Linked DNA regions of Sus scrofa. The protein of the gene in region 1 purifies or fractionates together with the protein of each later gene. This does not show direct contact. Links are inferred from orthologs where the notes say so. Each region holds a gene or a part of one and is shown in the gene's direction. Other genes may lie near its edges.

Region 1 (7,566 bases):
ATAAAGTCTGCTGGTGAGCAGCTTTGAAACTATTTTGGAGAACAGTAGGTGAATAAAGATATACTTTGAACAGCAAGTAGTACTAAGATGCCAAAACTAAAGGAAAGTCAACTTTTAATTATTTGACATAATGACATGGCAGAGGACAATTTATAATAACAGGGAGAGAGTATAGGTAAAATATGATTTATCTTAAATCAAGATCTAATAGATGTGCTATAATGACATGGTTTAGCAGCGTGACTTACACTAGTTCTACTTACCAGGATTTCTGTTGAACATGGTAAGACTGACCAACCTTTGTCTGCAATGTTCATAAATTTTATAGTTAGCTAACTGCCTACTGATTAATATTTATATGAAATCACAAATGGAGTCATACCCGTGACCAATCACATATTTCTTAGAGAGTATTTCTTCTAATTTCTCATTTCCTCAAAGCTCATGACTTCTGTACATAAATTGCTCCTCACACTTTAGCCAAAAGTTCTAGTGTGATTTCAGGGGAGCAAAAAGACCCATTTATTCATTTATCAAATACTGGGCCCCTATTATGTGATCTGCAACAGTGTTTGATACTGGGATTAAAAAGTTGATTAAACTGCCCTTGAGCTAATTCAATTAGTTTAGTGTTTTGCAGATGTGAACCTCATAGTATTCTTGTGGAAAATCACACAGGGAGGAAAATTCTGGGACATATAGTGCAAATCAGGCATGGATAAATTACTTTACCTTTGAACTACAACCTGTGCTGAGACTAGTCCAGTTCTGATTAATTTTAAACAGTGGTATAACTGGTACCTTTAAATTCAAGAATGTTGAATTCTGGAGTTCCCATCGTGGCACAGTGGTTAACGAATCCGACTAGGAACCATGAGGTTGCGGGTTCGATCCCTGGCCTCTCTCAGTGGGTTAATGATCCGGCGTTGCCGTGAGCTGTGGTGCAGGTCGCAGATGCGGCTCGGATCCCGCGTTGCTGTGGCTCTGGCGTAGGCCAGTGGCTACAGCTCCAATTCGACCCCTAGCCTGGGAACCTCCATATGCCGTGGGAGTGGCCCAAGAAATGGCAAAAAGACAAAATAAATAAATAAATAAATAAATGGGAAGGAAAAAAAAAAAAAAAAGAATGTTGAATTCTGGTGGTAGCTGCATCATTGGGTTATTGATATAGAAACATTGATTTTTTAAATTGAAGTATAGTTGATTTACGATGTTGTGTTAGTTCTCAGGGGCACAATGAAGTGATTCAGTTATGTTACATGTTAAATATATGTTCTTTCTTGGATTCTTTTCCGTTATAGGTAGGTTACTACAAGTTATTGAATATAGCTCCCTGTGCTATAAGTAGGAAAATTGTTGTTCATCTGTTTTGTATATAGTAGTATGTACATATTAATCCCCAACTCCTAATTTATCCCTTCCCCCACCCTTAACTATAGGATTATTTTCTGAGTCTGGTTTGTTTTGAAACCAAGTCCATTTGTATCCTCTTTCAGATTACACAAATAGGGAAACATGATTTAGTCCGTTAACTTTGGTCATCTATTAAACGGGAAAAATCATTCCCATTTCTTTAGAGGTTCCCAGAGATTACCTAACCAACAGATTTGATTTTGCTGGTAAGCAATGAACAAAGTTTCCATAGATGGGATTGTGTGAGCTTCTTTTAAGGTTGGCAGCTAAATGGGCATCGCGGCTTCTAATCTCCCCCAAATGAAACACTACTTCTCCATTTCACAAATCTCATAATTCGAGTTCTATTCCCAACAGGGTGCTCCAGCTCACCACGTGGCGAAGCACATTTTCTGCTAACAGGATGGCAGCCTGCCAGCAGCATAGTCAAAGTGACTGGGTTTCAGTATGATGCCGGTTGGCACAGGTTTCATTCCTCTGATTAAGAAGTGCCCAGCCTTGCTCATAATGAAATGTTTCTCTTCTCGTGTTTTAAACGTCCCTTCTTCTGCAGCCCCCCAGCCCACCTACTAAAAAAACTGAGGATAAACGGAAACCGTATCAAGGAGGAAACTTCCTTCTCATCCGCGTTCCCCATAAACGGACGTCCAGATTAACCTAACAAAAGCTGCTCTCCAATTTACTTTTTCTCTAAAACTTTTCTCTTTCTGGGTCCCCATCTCCTCCCTAAGTCTCCCCCTTTCTCAAAGACGTAAGTCAGGCAAATCCTCACGCCAGAAAAATACTGGCTTTAGCTCCTTCCCTTCCAAAAGGAAAACGTCTTGGGCCCCAGGAAGCCCTGCAAGGTGCGTGATTAAGTGTCTTGATTTGCGGGAGTCTCCGGCGGCTCCCTGGAGGCAAGGCTTCCAAGGTTCAAAACCAGGCAGTCCCGGGCAGGACAGACGTGCGGCCTTAGGAAAGCAGCACCTAAGACAAGGCAGGAAGAAGGCTCCAGAACTTCTCACGGGAGGAGATTAAGGCGCGCTGGGCGGCGCAGACCCTTCCTCCCTGGGCAGCTAAGGAAACTGAGGCACGGCGAACGCTGCGGCAGAGACCCCCACCACCGGCGCCCGGCAGGCCCGCTCCTTTGTCCCAGCGGCCGCCCTCCCCGCCCCTCCTCCACCTCCCACCCCGCGTCCCTCCCCCACCCCCGCCGCGCGGGCGCGGCTGACGCCGCCCGGCAGGAATGCGCTTCCGGAGGGAGAGGGCGGCGGCGGCGGCCTGAGGAGCTGGATTGCCGCGCGGAGGAGGCGGTGCCGCGGGGGTCGTTTCCTGCCAGGAGGCGGCCCCGCGTCGCCGAGTCTCCTCCTCCCGCCCGCGAAGGAGGAGGAGCTGCCGCCGCCGCGCCCGCGCCGCAGCCGGGGAGGCCACGCCAGCCCTCGGACAGGCCGAGCGGGAGTCGCGGAGCGCTGGTGGAGCCGACCGCGCGGGCCGGGCGCCGCGGGAGAAGGTGGGCGCGGGCGGGCGGCGGGCTGGGTGCGCTGCCGGCCCGGGGCCCCGGGGCGCGCGTGGGGGCCGCGGCCTGGGGGCGGATTCCAGCCGTCGGGCGGGGGAGGAAGTCGGGCCGCGCCCGCTCCCGGCTTCGCTCTCCGACTGTCCGGCCGGGGGAGGTGGAGGGTGCGGGCCGGCCCAGGACGCTGTCCGCGGGAGGCCGCGCTTGCGGAGGCCCGGGGCCAGGATCCGCCGCTCGGACACCCGCTGTGGGCGCCACCCCGCCGGCTGGGCGCCGACAGGCCTTCGCGGGCCGGCGTCCTGGGAGCGGCCTCGGCCCCGCCGCCTTACGCGGCGGGTCGCGCGGGTGCCGGGCCTCCGCGCGGGGACAGCTCCGCCTCGGCTCCAGCTCTCCGGCGTTGCTCGGAGAAGGGGCGCGGGGTCGGGCGTCCTGTGGGCCCCTTTCCCCCCGAGGCTGGTTGTGGGCGGCGGTGCGAAGGGCTAACCCCAGCCGCTGCCTGATTCGTGCGGTTGCTTAGGCTTCATAACAAGTCGTATTTTTAAGAATGCCAGTATTTAATGCCCAAGTAATTCTTGTTTTATCGGATGTGTGTTTTGGATCAAAATCTAGCGCTGGTTGGTTTGGTCCCTAGTAAATTAGACTCTTTAAGGTTCCATTTCCTCTGCTGTAAAATGGGAGCAATACCGACACTAATAAGAAAACGTAATTGTTATAATAACGGCATAAGTGAGGGCCATGCTTAGCTCTACACACTTCACCTGTATTTTCTCGTTTAACCCTGGATCTGAGCCGACCAGGTATATGCTGTTTTTATCCCTGTTTTCCAATTGAAACCGACACACCAGGAGCCTGGGTGATCATCCAGCTGTAGTGAGGAGAACCCATGGGGTCTAGCAGACGTTGTTTGAACCACAAGTAACCTTGCATAAGTACCGTGTAGTGAAAAGCTAATGGAAAATGGAAAACACTTAGCTTAGAGTAGATGCTCAATAAATATCAACTCCTTTTCGTTCCTTCTTGTTTTTTTTTTTTTTTAAAGTATGCCTGTAGTTGATAGCATCATTAGTAAGGCGTTTTGGAGTCTGCGTTCCACATAAATATTTAGGGGAGTAGAGTTACTGGAATGTTATTTTTTATTGTTTTGGTGGTACAAAAATAACCAATGCTAAATGTTTTGATGAGGCATCTTTCTTCAACTGCATGCAGCCTTTCCAACAGGTTGCATAAATAGACCACTTGAGAAATGATTAAGGGATTTTAGTTGCAAGTTACCTATTCTAAGTCTGTGAATATCAAGGCCATAGGGAGGGTCAGGGCTTATTTAAGAGTCCTACTGTAATGTTCATATTTGAAAATAATTTTAGTCCCTTGTTTAATAATAAATGAGTGAAGAGGATTAATAAATAGAAAACACGTGAAACAAATCAGTGTTCTGGTTATAGATGTCTGAGGAGACAAGACATTTTACTCACCCTAAAATTCAGTATAAAATGGAAGATGTTAGAATGCTAGTTTAAAAGATAGGGGATGTGGTTAATACTTTACTTCTGTAAATAGAAAACAAACTCCAAATCAAGTCATCTGTGTTGAGGTCACAGACCTAAACATTTAAGCTTTTGTAATGTTGATTCCTTTTAGAAGAATGTTAAAAAATACTCTATATTAAGATTGTTTTATAATCCCGTCAACATCCTGCATGTGAAAAGAATCGAATCAGCAATACTGAAAATCACTGGATTCAGGTGGCTTTTTCCTCAGTTTTCTGGTCGGTATAATTAAAAGCTGCCCCAAATTAGCATCACATGTATTTCTTTAATGGGGTGGATGAATTCCTAACTCCTGGAGGGACTCTGGGGCTGTAAATAGTGAAAATCAGTTTAAGGTGGTGCTAGTTTTCATGGAATGATGGCCACTTAGTAGCTTTATTGTTTGGTTTCTTGCCAAATTGTGGCTTCTATCATCAAGGGGTAATATTCTATCTGAAGGAAATATATGTTTTTAATTATTTCACAAGGACACTGGTTTGTTCTCTGCTGGAATGATGAGAGGACACATCTCTCTGGTAAAAGTTTCAGAACTTTTGAGTTCTGAGAATGGACATTTCTGAATGTGTAAGAAATTGAATTAGTTATCTGAGAGGATTCATAGGGACTGATTGCCCCACTCTGGATGGAGAGGTAGGATCTGTCTGGTTGTGAGTAGATTCCTAGAAGATCATATTGTGCACGTAGGTAAATGTCTTGTTGTATTAGCAGGTCTACTCTGACTGTGATGTGTTGTGGGGTTTTTGTCCTTTTATATTGTTGCACAGGTGGGGGTATTGGGGTAGGGAGGATGCGCCGACAGGCGTGAGAGTAGGGAAGAGTATATTAGTCTTTAGAACCTGAAATGATAGCAGCATCTATAGCTGTAGAAAACTGCATACATTAAGAGTATGTATCTAGGCTAAAGGAAGTGCAATCCCTATAAACCCCAGCCTTAGAATATTTCAATAGATGAGTGAAAAAATGTAGTATATCTTTTTCAGAAGATGTATGCAAAAGGAGCCAAGCTATACTTTGTGAATTTCTCATCTTTTTTTAAGACTAATTATCTTACACAGAGTTAAGTTTTATATATAAAATAAAAGTCAACTGCCTTAAAGCTGTATTTTTGGTTTGTGGCTTTAGAAGACAAGGTTAACTGTATCTAGCATGGTGCTGAAGCATGTGTATATCATGTCATCATGTAATGTGTGAAAAACTGCTTTGAATATACCTAGTACATACGTATATAAACACACACGTAATTATAGGCCTAGTCTCATTATGCAGTCTCCAGAGTGCTGCTTCCTGGACCCTCGGGCTGTATGAAATAACTCACTGGAGTGTGGGAAGAAAATAGACTGTTTATAATACATATATATTAAAACATATTTTAATCTCATCATTTTAGGGTAAATTTTTATGATTTATAATATTCTATATTGCTGTAGAAGTACATGTATTTTAATTTATAAATACATGTTTTATGGCATATGTATGCTCGATTTTTTTAAATAATAAAAATGAGGGATTAAAAAGCTTTGGAGGTCCTTGGTATGGAGGATGACTTGGGTTGGGCAACAGGAACTACTAATTTTGGAAGGAGAACAGGTAAGCTTGGTGTCTGAGGTGAGAGGAGGAAGGAACAGAAGTGGCCCGGTTTCTGGTTGGGAGGCGACCTGCACCGAGGAGGCCACCTCACCGCAGGGGTGGTGTTGAATCTGCAGGCCAGCTCGGCTGGAGCGGTGTTGCATCTGCAGATTGAGAGCTCAGAGCCGTCTGGCTGGGCGACTGCGATTTGGGAATTGAGTCTGTGAGACTTTTCACGCTGCTTCTCAGCTGCTTCACGGCCAGGGCTGGGTGGAGGAGAAGGAATCTAGAAAAGCCCTTCCCTTCCTCGGTTGGTTTGAATTTCTCATTCCTTCCTGTGACAACTTTAGTGAATGACTTGGGTCACTCAGTTTTTCTCTGTGATGAGTCTGCTTGGGCTGAAGAGAGAGGCATCACGAGAGAAGCAGTTTGATGTGGTCAAGGTGTCTGGATTGAGGGACCTGAACTGTGATGTTTGTCGGGATACCTCACCTCACTGGAAGCGGCTTTGGTTTCTGCAGCTATACCGTGAAAATGGTCTCTTGGTTTCCCTCTTTCCGTTACCCTGAGAGCCGAAGGCCTGCTGTCTTGTGACCTGGCTCTGCAGAGTGTAGCTCCCCTGTCTCCCATGAGCAGCCCTCACCCCAGAGGGCAGGTGCTGTGTCAGCTCGTGGCTTTGAGCAAGCCTGCCAGTGCTGGCCAGCCAGATCTGTTCCTGTTCGCTCTCTGGCAGGCTGGAGCTCTGTTGTCCATCCCATGTTAATCCGACGGTGTCCCGAGTGCCAGTTTCCTGAGCACTGGCGCTGAGCGGGGGTAGGTCAAGAGGTTGCCGTGGACCTTGCTGTTGAGGACACTTGTCTTGTTGGGGCAAGTTGTGTTCAGTCTGGGGAAACAGCAGATACCGCAGGATGTTCTACACAGCGTACCTTACCAGGTAAAATTTTCTAATAGATTTTGAGGAAAAGGTCAGCATTGGCTTTAATGGTTTTGGAAGGCTTTGTAGAGGAGCTGGGAATGGTAGGACCAAAGAGGCAGATGACAGGTGGTGACGTGGTCAAGGGGCAGTAGAGTTAGACTGCAGAGTCCAGTCTTATTTAGCAAATACTGTTTGACTACTTTGACATATAATCATATGTATATTTAAATATGTACTATATACACATATAAATAAAATGAAGACTCTGTAAAATGAAGGCCCAGATTCTGGCCGTCCAACTCTAGTCTGGTGTGGTCTGCAAACATAAATACAATTAGTTATAACAGAAATCTGAATTAAAGCAACACTGTGTTATTGAGCATCACTGAAGGTTTGTCATTTACTGTGCTAGACGCTATCAAGAATATGTTTTGGCAACAACAACAACAAAAAGACAAAAAAAGACAAAAAAAAAAGAGGGGGAGTTCCCGTCGTGGCGCAGTGGTTAACGAATCCGACTAGGAACCATGAGGTTGCGGGTTCGGTCCCTGGCCTTGCTCAGTGGGTTAAGGATCCGGCGTTGCCGTGAGCTGTGGTGTAGGTTGCAGACGCGGCTCGGATCCCCTGTTGCT
Region 2 (7,697 bases), on another chromosome or scaffold:
CATCTTTCCCCTGGGCACCCAGGTTTGGAAACTCTGAGTCATCTCAGACTCTTTCCATTTCCTCGCCCCACTGCCATCCCCCCTTTATTTTTTTGTCATTCCAGTGGCATGTGGATGTTCCTGGGCCAGGGATCGAACCCACACCACAGCAGTGGCAAAGACAGATCCTTAACCTGCTGTGCCATAAGGGAACACCAGTCACTCTGTCCTTTGCTTTTTCCCTCTGAAAGTCCTTTCCAAGGATTTCCCCTCCTTTCCGTGGCTCTGGTCTTAATTAGCTCTCCCCTGGGGCATGGCAGTGATGTCCCAGCTTCCCTCCAGGCATTCATTCCTCCTCGTCCAAGGTAGGCCCCATGCTAAGGCAGTTCACCTTGTCAATTAATTTCCACGGGTCCCCTTTGTCCTAGAACACACCCAACCCAGCCACCTAAGTTCTCAATAGTCCTGTCACCCAGACTGTCTTCTTTGTGCTTCATCTACTGTTTTGTGAAGTATTGCAAAGTAAATTACAAATATGACATTCCATCCTTAAGTATTTTCATATGCATATTAAAAAAAATAGTGGAGGAGTTCCCATCGTGGCTCAGTGGTTGGTGAGTCCGACTAGGAACCATGAGTTTGCGGGTTCGATCTCTGGCCTTGCTCAGCAGGTTGAGGATCTAGTGTTGCCGTGAGCTGTGGTGTAGGTTGCAAATGTGACTCGGATCCTGCGTTGCTGTGGCTCTGGCGTAGGCCAGCGGCTACAGCTCTGATTAGACCCTAGCCTGGGAACCTCCATATGCCGCAGGAGCGGCCCTAGAAAAGGCAAATAGACAAAAAAAAAAAAGAGGAATTTTCCTATATAATCATACTGTCATCATACCTAAGAAAATTATTTTCTCAGGTCTAATTCTCAGTCAATATTTAAATTTGCCCAGCTGTTCCCAAAATGTCTTTCATGGTTGTTCAGGCAAAGATGTAATCAAAGAGCAAGCATTATACTTGGTGAGTAGGTATTTAATGTTTCTCAATCTTTTTTTTTTTTTGGTTTTTAGGGCCGCACCCATTGCATACGGAGGTTCCCGGGCTAGGGGTCACCGGCCTACGCCACAGCCACAGCAGATCTGAGCCTCGTAAGCAACCTACACCACAGCTCACTGCAACGTCAGATCCTTAACCCACTGAGCGAGGCCAGGGATTGAAACTTCAACATTATGTTTCCTAGTCAGATTCATTTCCGCTGTGCCACGACGATGCTAACTCCTAAAGTTTCTCAATTTGACTTCAGACCAGCTTCCCTCCCGTCCATCTGTCACCACATCCTTCCCCAGCCCTGTGAGGCAGCTGGCCAATCCCAATCTGCCATGGACTTTATTTTTAAATTAAAAAAGAGTTTGTGTTTTTGCTTTTTAGGGCTACATTCGCACAACTCAAGGCCACGCCGGCTCCTTAACCCACCGAGCAATGCCAGGGATCAAACCCACATTCTCATGGTTACTAGTTGGGTTTGTTAACCCACTGAGCCACAGTGGGAACTCCCTGCCATGGACTTTTAAAACTACTCCTTTTTTGGAAGTTCCCATTGTGGTCCAGCAGTAATGAACCCAACTAGTTATGAGGATGCGGTTCAATCCCAGTCCTCGCTCGGCTCAGTGGGTGAAGGATCTGGCCTTGCCGTGAGCTGTGGTGTAGGTTGCAGACACCGCTCGGATCTGGCGTTGCTGTGGTTGTCTCTGACTCAACCCCTAGCCTGGGACCTTCCGTATGCCTGAAAAGACAAAAATTAAAAATAAATAAATAAATAAACAAAACGACTCCTCTTTTACACCTGGCCCTTTCCTTGGCACTGGAACTGATGCTTGCCCTTTTATTCGCCAAGCTCCCCTGGGAGAGCACCACCCACCTCTGTGAAATCTTTTTCTTTTTCCCTCTGGGGCATCGGCACCTCCTGCCCCTCCCTCTGAGCTAGTCCAGCTGCCACCAGGGGTTTCTGCGTCTATTCACAGTGTGGGCTTGGTTCTGCCTGCTGGCAGAGGACAGGGCCATCAACTTCCTCACCTCGCTGGCCCTGTGCCCAGCACATGCCTGGCAGAAACAGAGGAATACTCCTTTCTTCGGAGTCTTGGCTCCTCCTCCCCAGCCTGCCTGCAGGTGATAACTGGGGAGCAATGTCCAGAAGGGGCTTGGTGTGTTTCGCTTGAAGATAGTGATCCTGGAAACTGGTTCTCAGCCCAGCCCAGCCCAGTGCGCCTTCCTTTTGCTCTTAAAGTTTCCTTCCTTCTTTGTGTACACACACCACAGCTCAGGAAATGGTTCTTCAGGCAGGACCAGAAAAACGCAAGGGGTGGGTTCAGGCTGGGCGGGCAGCGGTGTGGTGGCTGGTTCCGTCCTTGCCCCGTTCACACAGTTTCTTCTGGAGCCCACCCCCCCCTCACCTTCCAGTCCTCTCCAGGCTTTGCCCCTGGGCTGTCCAGGACGGGCGAGGAAAATGCAGGGAATACGTGCTGTGCTCGCCTAAGTGTCCTCGGCACGCCTCCCGGGTAACAGGCTGATCCGGGAGTGGAGGGAGGGACCTCATTCATGACGCATCATGACTGACGGGGTGGGATGTCCTGGGAAAGGCTTCCTCTATTTCTCCGCTCACTCCTCCGGAATCCTACAAAATGGAGAATGGACTAACAATGGGAGCGGAGAGAAGGAACACCCCTTCTAGAATGGTGGGGGACCCCCAGGATGTGAAGCCAGGGACTTTCTAAAAGTGTTTATTCGCGACCCACCCTATCCCAGGGACCCAACAGCGCCCTCTACTGACTCGGGGAAGGGGTGAGGGGCTGGAACAGAGTTGGAGCGAGAGGAAGGGAGTGGGCTCTGGGTGGAGGATGAGGAGGCCTCTTGAAGACCATCTTGTCCCCTCGCCTCAGCTCCGCCGCCCGGGCTGGGTGCACAGAGGGTTCCTCTGGGCCGCTCATCCCTCCTTTAGCTCTCACACGTCTCCCCCGTTTGCCTGAGCCAAAGAAAAGCAGGCGGCGCCTGGTCCCCCTCTCCTACCCCGAGTTGGCACGGGGCTGGGGAAGCCAGGAGAACCCAGGCACCCCGGGGTCTTGCCCTTGGTGCCCTCCCTTTGCGGGGGGTGGGCGCCGTCTTCCAGGCAGGGGCCACGTGGCCTTGACCCGGCCGGGGTCTCGGCCTTCCTCCTGCAGGCCGGGTGACTCAGGCCGCAGCTGTTCTCGCGTCACATGAGGGAGGCTGGCGGCTACTCGGCGGGGGAGGGGGCTGCGGATGGAGCCGGGGCGGGGCCGCGCGCCGGGCGGGGCCGGAGCCGGGGGGCGCAGCTAGAGAGCCCCTGAGCCGCGGCGGGAGTGCAGCGCACAGCCTCGGGGAGCCCAGGTGAGGCCGCGGAGCCCGCTCCGGCTCTGGCGTCGGGGTGTTGGGGGGAATCGCCAGCCGCTCCCCGCTCAGGGCCTCGCTCCGGGCCTCTGAAGATCGGCTTCGCTCCCCCGCTGCTCCCGAGGCCCTCGCAACTTTGCAACTTTGGAAAGTTCCGGAGGCCCGGGAGGGGTGGGATGCGGAGCGCGGGACGCACTTATTTTTGGCGGTGGTCAGAGCCCAGGGGAAAGTGGCCTGGGGATCGGGCTAGAGCTGAGGACAATTTTGGGGGGCTGGTTGGGTGGGGAGGGGGTGTTTAACACCTGGGGGCTGGCGGGCCCAGGGTGGGCGTCCAGCCCTGGCCCCAGCGGGCGCCCTTGGATCAGTCCGGGGCCAGGGACGCGGCGGGGCGGGGTCCGGGCTGGGCGACGGGCGCCCCCACCCCTCTCCTGCAGGGAGAAGAGGGGGCTGGGAGACGTGGATCTGACCGCGGGTTTCCGGGTGGGAGGGGCCGGGAATGGGGGCCGCGCAGGGGAGGTCTCGAGGGCCGGCAGGGCGCTCCGAAGCCCGGATACCCCTTCGACCGGTTCTAATCCCCCTGCCCTCCCCTGTGCCCCAGGCCAGGCAGCCATGGCGGTGGAAGGAGGAATGAGATGTGTCAAGTTCTTGCTCTACGTTCTTCTGCTGGCCTTTTGCGTGAGTGGGGAGCGGGGACGATGGGGGCGCGCTGGCAGGGTGCGGGGAGAACTGGCTCGGGAGTGCTGACGGCTGAGGGGTCAAGAAGGAAGGCAGCTGGAGAGCAGATGTGGAAGGAACTCCCGGCTAACGGCCGAGGGCAGCGCGGCCATCGCCTCCTCCAGCTCAAAGCAGGGATCTTTGAGACTGTTTGGGATCGAGAATGGCCGGCCTGGGTGCCTAGCACCCTCCCCGTAATCCCTCCTTGCCTTTCCTGTCTGGTGACCCAACCTCTTGTGATATGGGGCAGTGGGGCAACCCGCCAACGGCTTGATGCTATCACCACGGGGTGCCCCTCCGCACCCTCCACCCCCCCTTCCTCTCCATTCCCTCATACCCCCTCCTTCCTGCTTGGGGGTTGGAGAGGGCTCTGTCCACCTAGATGGCTCCTGCCCTGGGCCCCCGGCTTGAGAGAGGATTGTTTGTCCAGGGAGGGGCAGGTCACCCTTACCCCGCTTCCTCCTCCCTTCTCCTCCCTGGCCTAGTGGGCCTGAGGAACCCGAGTCCTGAGGAACCCTAGTGGGCCCCAGGAACCCTAGTCACAGCTGGTGAGGATGTGGTGGGCACTGGAGGACAGTGAGAGGGCAGTTCTGGGAGCCCTGGAGGCCCATAGGAAGAGGCTCACAGGAAGCACTTCTCTTTGTTGGGAATTTGTGCCCTGGGGTCAAGGCTTTCTGGGAACTTCTCTTTTTGCCTTGGTGAGGAGCGGGTTGTGGAAGGTGTGGTTCCTTCTGACTGCCTTCTCTGAGAGCCTTGAACAGTTTCCCAGCCCTCCCTGGCAAGGATGGCTCACCCTTCTCCCCCACAGTTAGGTCCCCTGGAGGTGTGAGAATCCGTCTCTGGAGTGGGGTTCTGGTCTGTGTCCCGGGTCCATCGCGCCCTCCACCTTGGAGGGCTGATGGGTTGTGCGGCCTCTCAGTCCTGCTCTGTCCTCCCCGCAGGCCTGTGCCGTGGGACTGATCGCCGTGGGGATCTGGGTCCAGCTCGTGCTAAATCAGACCATTACCCAGGGGGCCACCCCTGGCTCCCTGTTGCCTGTGGTCATCATCGCAGTGGGTGCCTTCCTCTTCCTGGTGGCCTTTGTGGGCTGCTGTGGGACCTGCAAGGAGAACTACTGTCTTATGGTCACAGTGAGTGGCGGTGGGCCAGCACGGGGCCTGGCCCTCCTGGAAGGGCGTTCCTCTGGAGAGGGCTTGGGAGGGTGGGTGGGTGAAGGAAACTTCTGTGAATGTTCCTGAGAATGGCAGGCCCCCCTTGCCCAGACGCCAAACCTGACTCTCGTCCTTTGCGCCCGCAGTTTGCCATCTTCCTGTCCCTTATCATGCTGGTGGAGGTGGCAGCCGCCATTGCTGGCTATGTGTTTAGAGACAAGGTAAGCAGGGACTAAGGGGAGGGCCTCGTCTCAGAGGCCCGGCTACTCTGGGACCCAGGTGCCCCGAATTCTGGCTTCAACACAGCTCCTCTCTACTCCCAGGTGAAGGCAGAATTTAATAAGGACTTCCAGCAGCAGATGCAGAATTATCCAAAAAACAACCACACAGCATTGATCCTGGACAGGATGCAGGAAGATGTGAGTGGGGTTGCTGGGAGCAGGAGGAATGGGGTAAGAAGGTGCTCATCTCCATGGTGAAGATGGGGGCTCACTTAGCAGCCTTTTCCCTGTGTCTTTCCTCTCCCCTAGTTTAAGTGCTGCGGGGCAGCTAACTACACAGACTGGGAGAAGATCCTGCTGTCACCCAAGCGAGTCCCGGACTCCTGCTGTGTCAATGTCACTCAGCACTGTGGAGTTAATTTCAACGTGAAGGAGATTCATAATGAGGTAGGGAGGAGGCTGAGATAGTAGTGGACGTGGGGAACCTGGCATATGTTTGAGGGGGGCCAGAGGGACCAGGGCTGGAGGTGGAGAGGGTCGGGGCCCTTGGGGATTGAGGGTCAGGGATGGGGAGGGAACCTGGCAGTGCCAGGGGTGGGGTGAAAGGTACAGAGGGTGGGGAAGAGATAGCCGGTCTAGGGAAGTTTCTTTTTCTTTTTTTTTTTAATCTTTTACCTACTGTCTTTTGTGCTAGCTCTTTATTTATTTATTTATTTATTTTTTTTATTTTCCCACTGTACAGCAAGGGGGTCAGGTTATCCTTACATGTATACATTGCAATTACAGTTTTTCCCCCACTCTTTCTTCTGTTGCAACATGAGTATCTAGACATAGTTCTCAATGCTATTCAGCAGCATCTCCTTGTTAGGGAAGTTTCTGATAGGGTTCTTGTCTTGTGTGCTTGCCCCTTCTTCAGGGCTGTGTGGAAAAGATTGGGAGCTGGCTGAGGAGCAATGTGCTGGTGGCAGCTGCAGCAGCCCTGGGCATTGCCTTTGTGGAGGTGAGAGGTGCCCGTGGGTATCTGGGAACATGGGGCAGTGGGAGGATGCAGAGCTGGAGGTACTGGTCTGGTTGTGTCTGGGGTCTCTGGGCTGGGTCTGGGGTCCCTCGCCTCTCTGGCTCCTCTTCACCCCCACCTCTAACTTTCCTTCTAGGTCCTGGGTATTGTCTTTGCTTGCTGCCTTGTGAAGAGCATCCGAAGTGGCTACGAGGTGATGTAGGGGGTCTGGTCTCTTCAGCCCCCTCATCCAGGAGAGTGGGCTAGTATACTCCAGGTTTTTCAATTAAACGGATTATTTTTTCAGACCGAAAAGAGAGAGCGTGTCTGTTTGTCTTCAAGAGTGATACCTTATTCCTTCCCTCTCCTGATCTGTGTTCCTGTCCTTTGGGACCTTGTTCTGTTAGCACCTTTGGGAAAGTCAGGCCCCTCTTGGGGGTGTTGGGAAAGGAGGACTTTGCTGAAAGTGTTGGTGGGGCTGCCAGTGCAAGTGGGGATCCCGAGGGGGCTAAAGTCCGCTGCCCTCCCTGTCTCCTAGTCTAGTGCTGCCAGGCTCAGTGCTAAAGGATTCTTGAAGCTATCTCCTAAGTCAAAGGGATTCCCCACAAAGGTCCTACCTGGGAGAGGCCAGCCCACGCCCACCTGTGGACATCTCCCTGGGCCTCTGCACACCTCTGAGCCCAGCAGCTCCCTGCCTCACCCACCCTCGAGGGCATCTGGCTCTTCTCAGGGTGGTGACAAGTTGCTTTTAAACCTGTGTGGACAGCGTCTATCCTTCTTGATGTACATTAGGTAATGGAAGAATTTAAGAAAGCATCGCCTTTTTTAGCCCCATGGAAACCATCCATCTTGGCCCTGACCCATTCCCACTTCAAATGCTGAATTTGCATCTTACTCCACGTAGAAAATAAACATCCAACAGTGCCCTCTGGTGGTCATCCCTCCAGTTGCAGCTTCAAAGATCACAGACGCGAGACAGTCCTCTTGCGCCCCCCAGTGGGTGCTAGTTGTTGTGCAGGTACTAGACAGGTCAGAGACCCTGGGCTATGTCAGCCTAGGTTAGGAATTAAATGGGGTCATCTTCACCGGGCACCTTCATTTCTGCCCACCTACAGTGTTTTTTTTTTGTCTTTTGTCTTTTTTTTTGTTGTTGTTGTTGTTGCTATTTCTTGGGCCGCTCCCGCGGCATATGGAGGTTCCCAGGCTAGGGGTTGAATCGGAGCTGTAGCCACCGGCCTACGCCAGAGC

What was found. Proteins that work in one complex are often made in the same cells at the same time.
Region 2: the proteins of ITGB1 (region 1) and CD63 purify together in Homo sapiens (affinity purification with western blotting; 3 studies listed by BioGRID and IntAct, with this or other methods). This does not show direct contact. The link is inferred for Sus scrofa from reciprocal best matches to the Homo sapiens genes ITGB1 and CD63.

What each region holds. Positions count from the first base shown.
Region 1 is NC_010452.4:56,125,705-56,133,270, reverse strand, and holds the start of ITGB1 (integrin beta-1), read left to right. Parts: upstream 1-2,759; 5' UTR 2,760-2,902; intron 2,903-7,566.
Region 2 is NC_010447.5:21,171,342-21,179,038, reverse strand, and holds CD63 (CD63 antigen), read left to right. Parts: upstream 1-2,813; 5' UTR 2,814-3,189; coding exon of another isoform or gene 3,190-3,600; intron 3,601-3,668; coding exon of another isoform or gene 3,669-3,975; coding exon 3,976-4,041; intron 4,042-5,021; coding exon 5,022-5,210; intron 5,211-5,377; coding exon 5,378-5,452; intron 5,453-5,554; coding exon 5,555-5,650; intron 5,651-5,761; coding exon 5,762-5,899; intron 5,900-6,368; coding exon 6,369-6,452; intron 6,453-6,606; coding exon 6,607-6,672; 3' UTR 6,673-6,764; downstream 6,765-7,697. Other genes in the region: basic proline-rich protein-like, read right to left, coding at 3,190-3,600, 3,669-3,977. UniProt on the Homo sapiens protein: Functions as a cell surface receptor for TIMP1 and plays a role in the activation of cellular signaling cascades. Plays a role in the activation of ITGB1 and integrin signaling, leading to the activation of AKT, FAK/PTK2 and MAP kinases.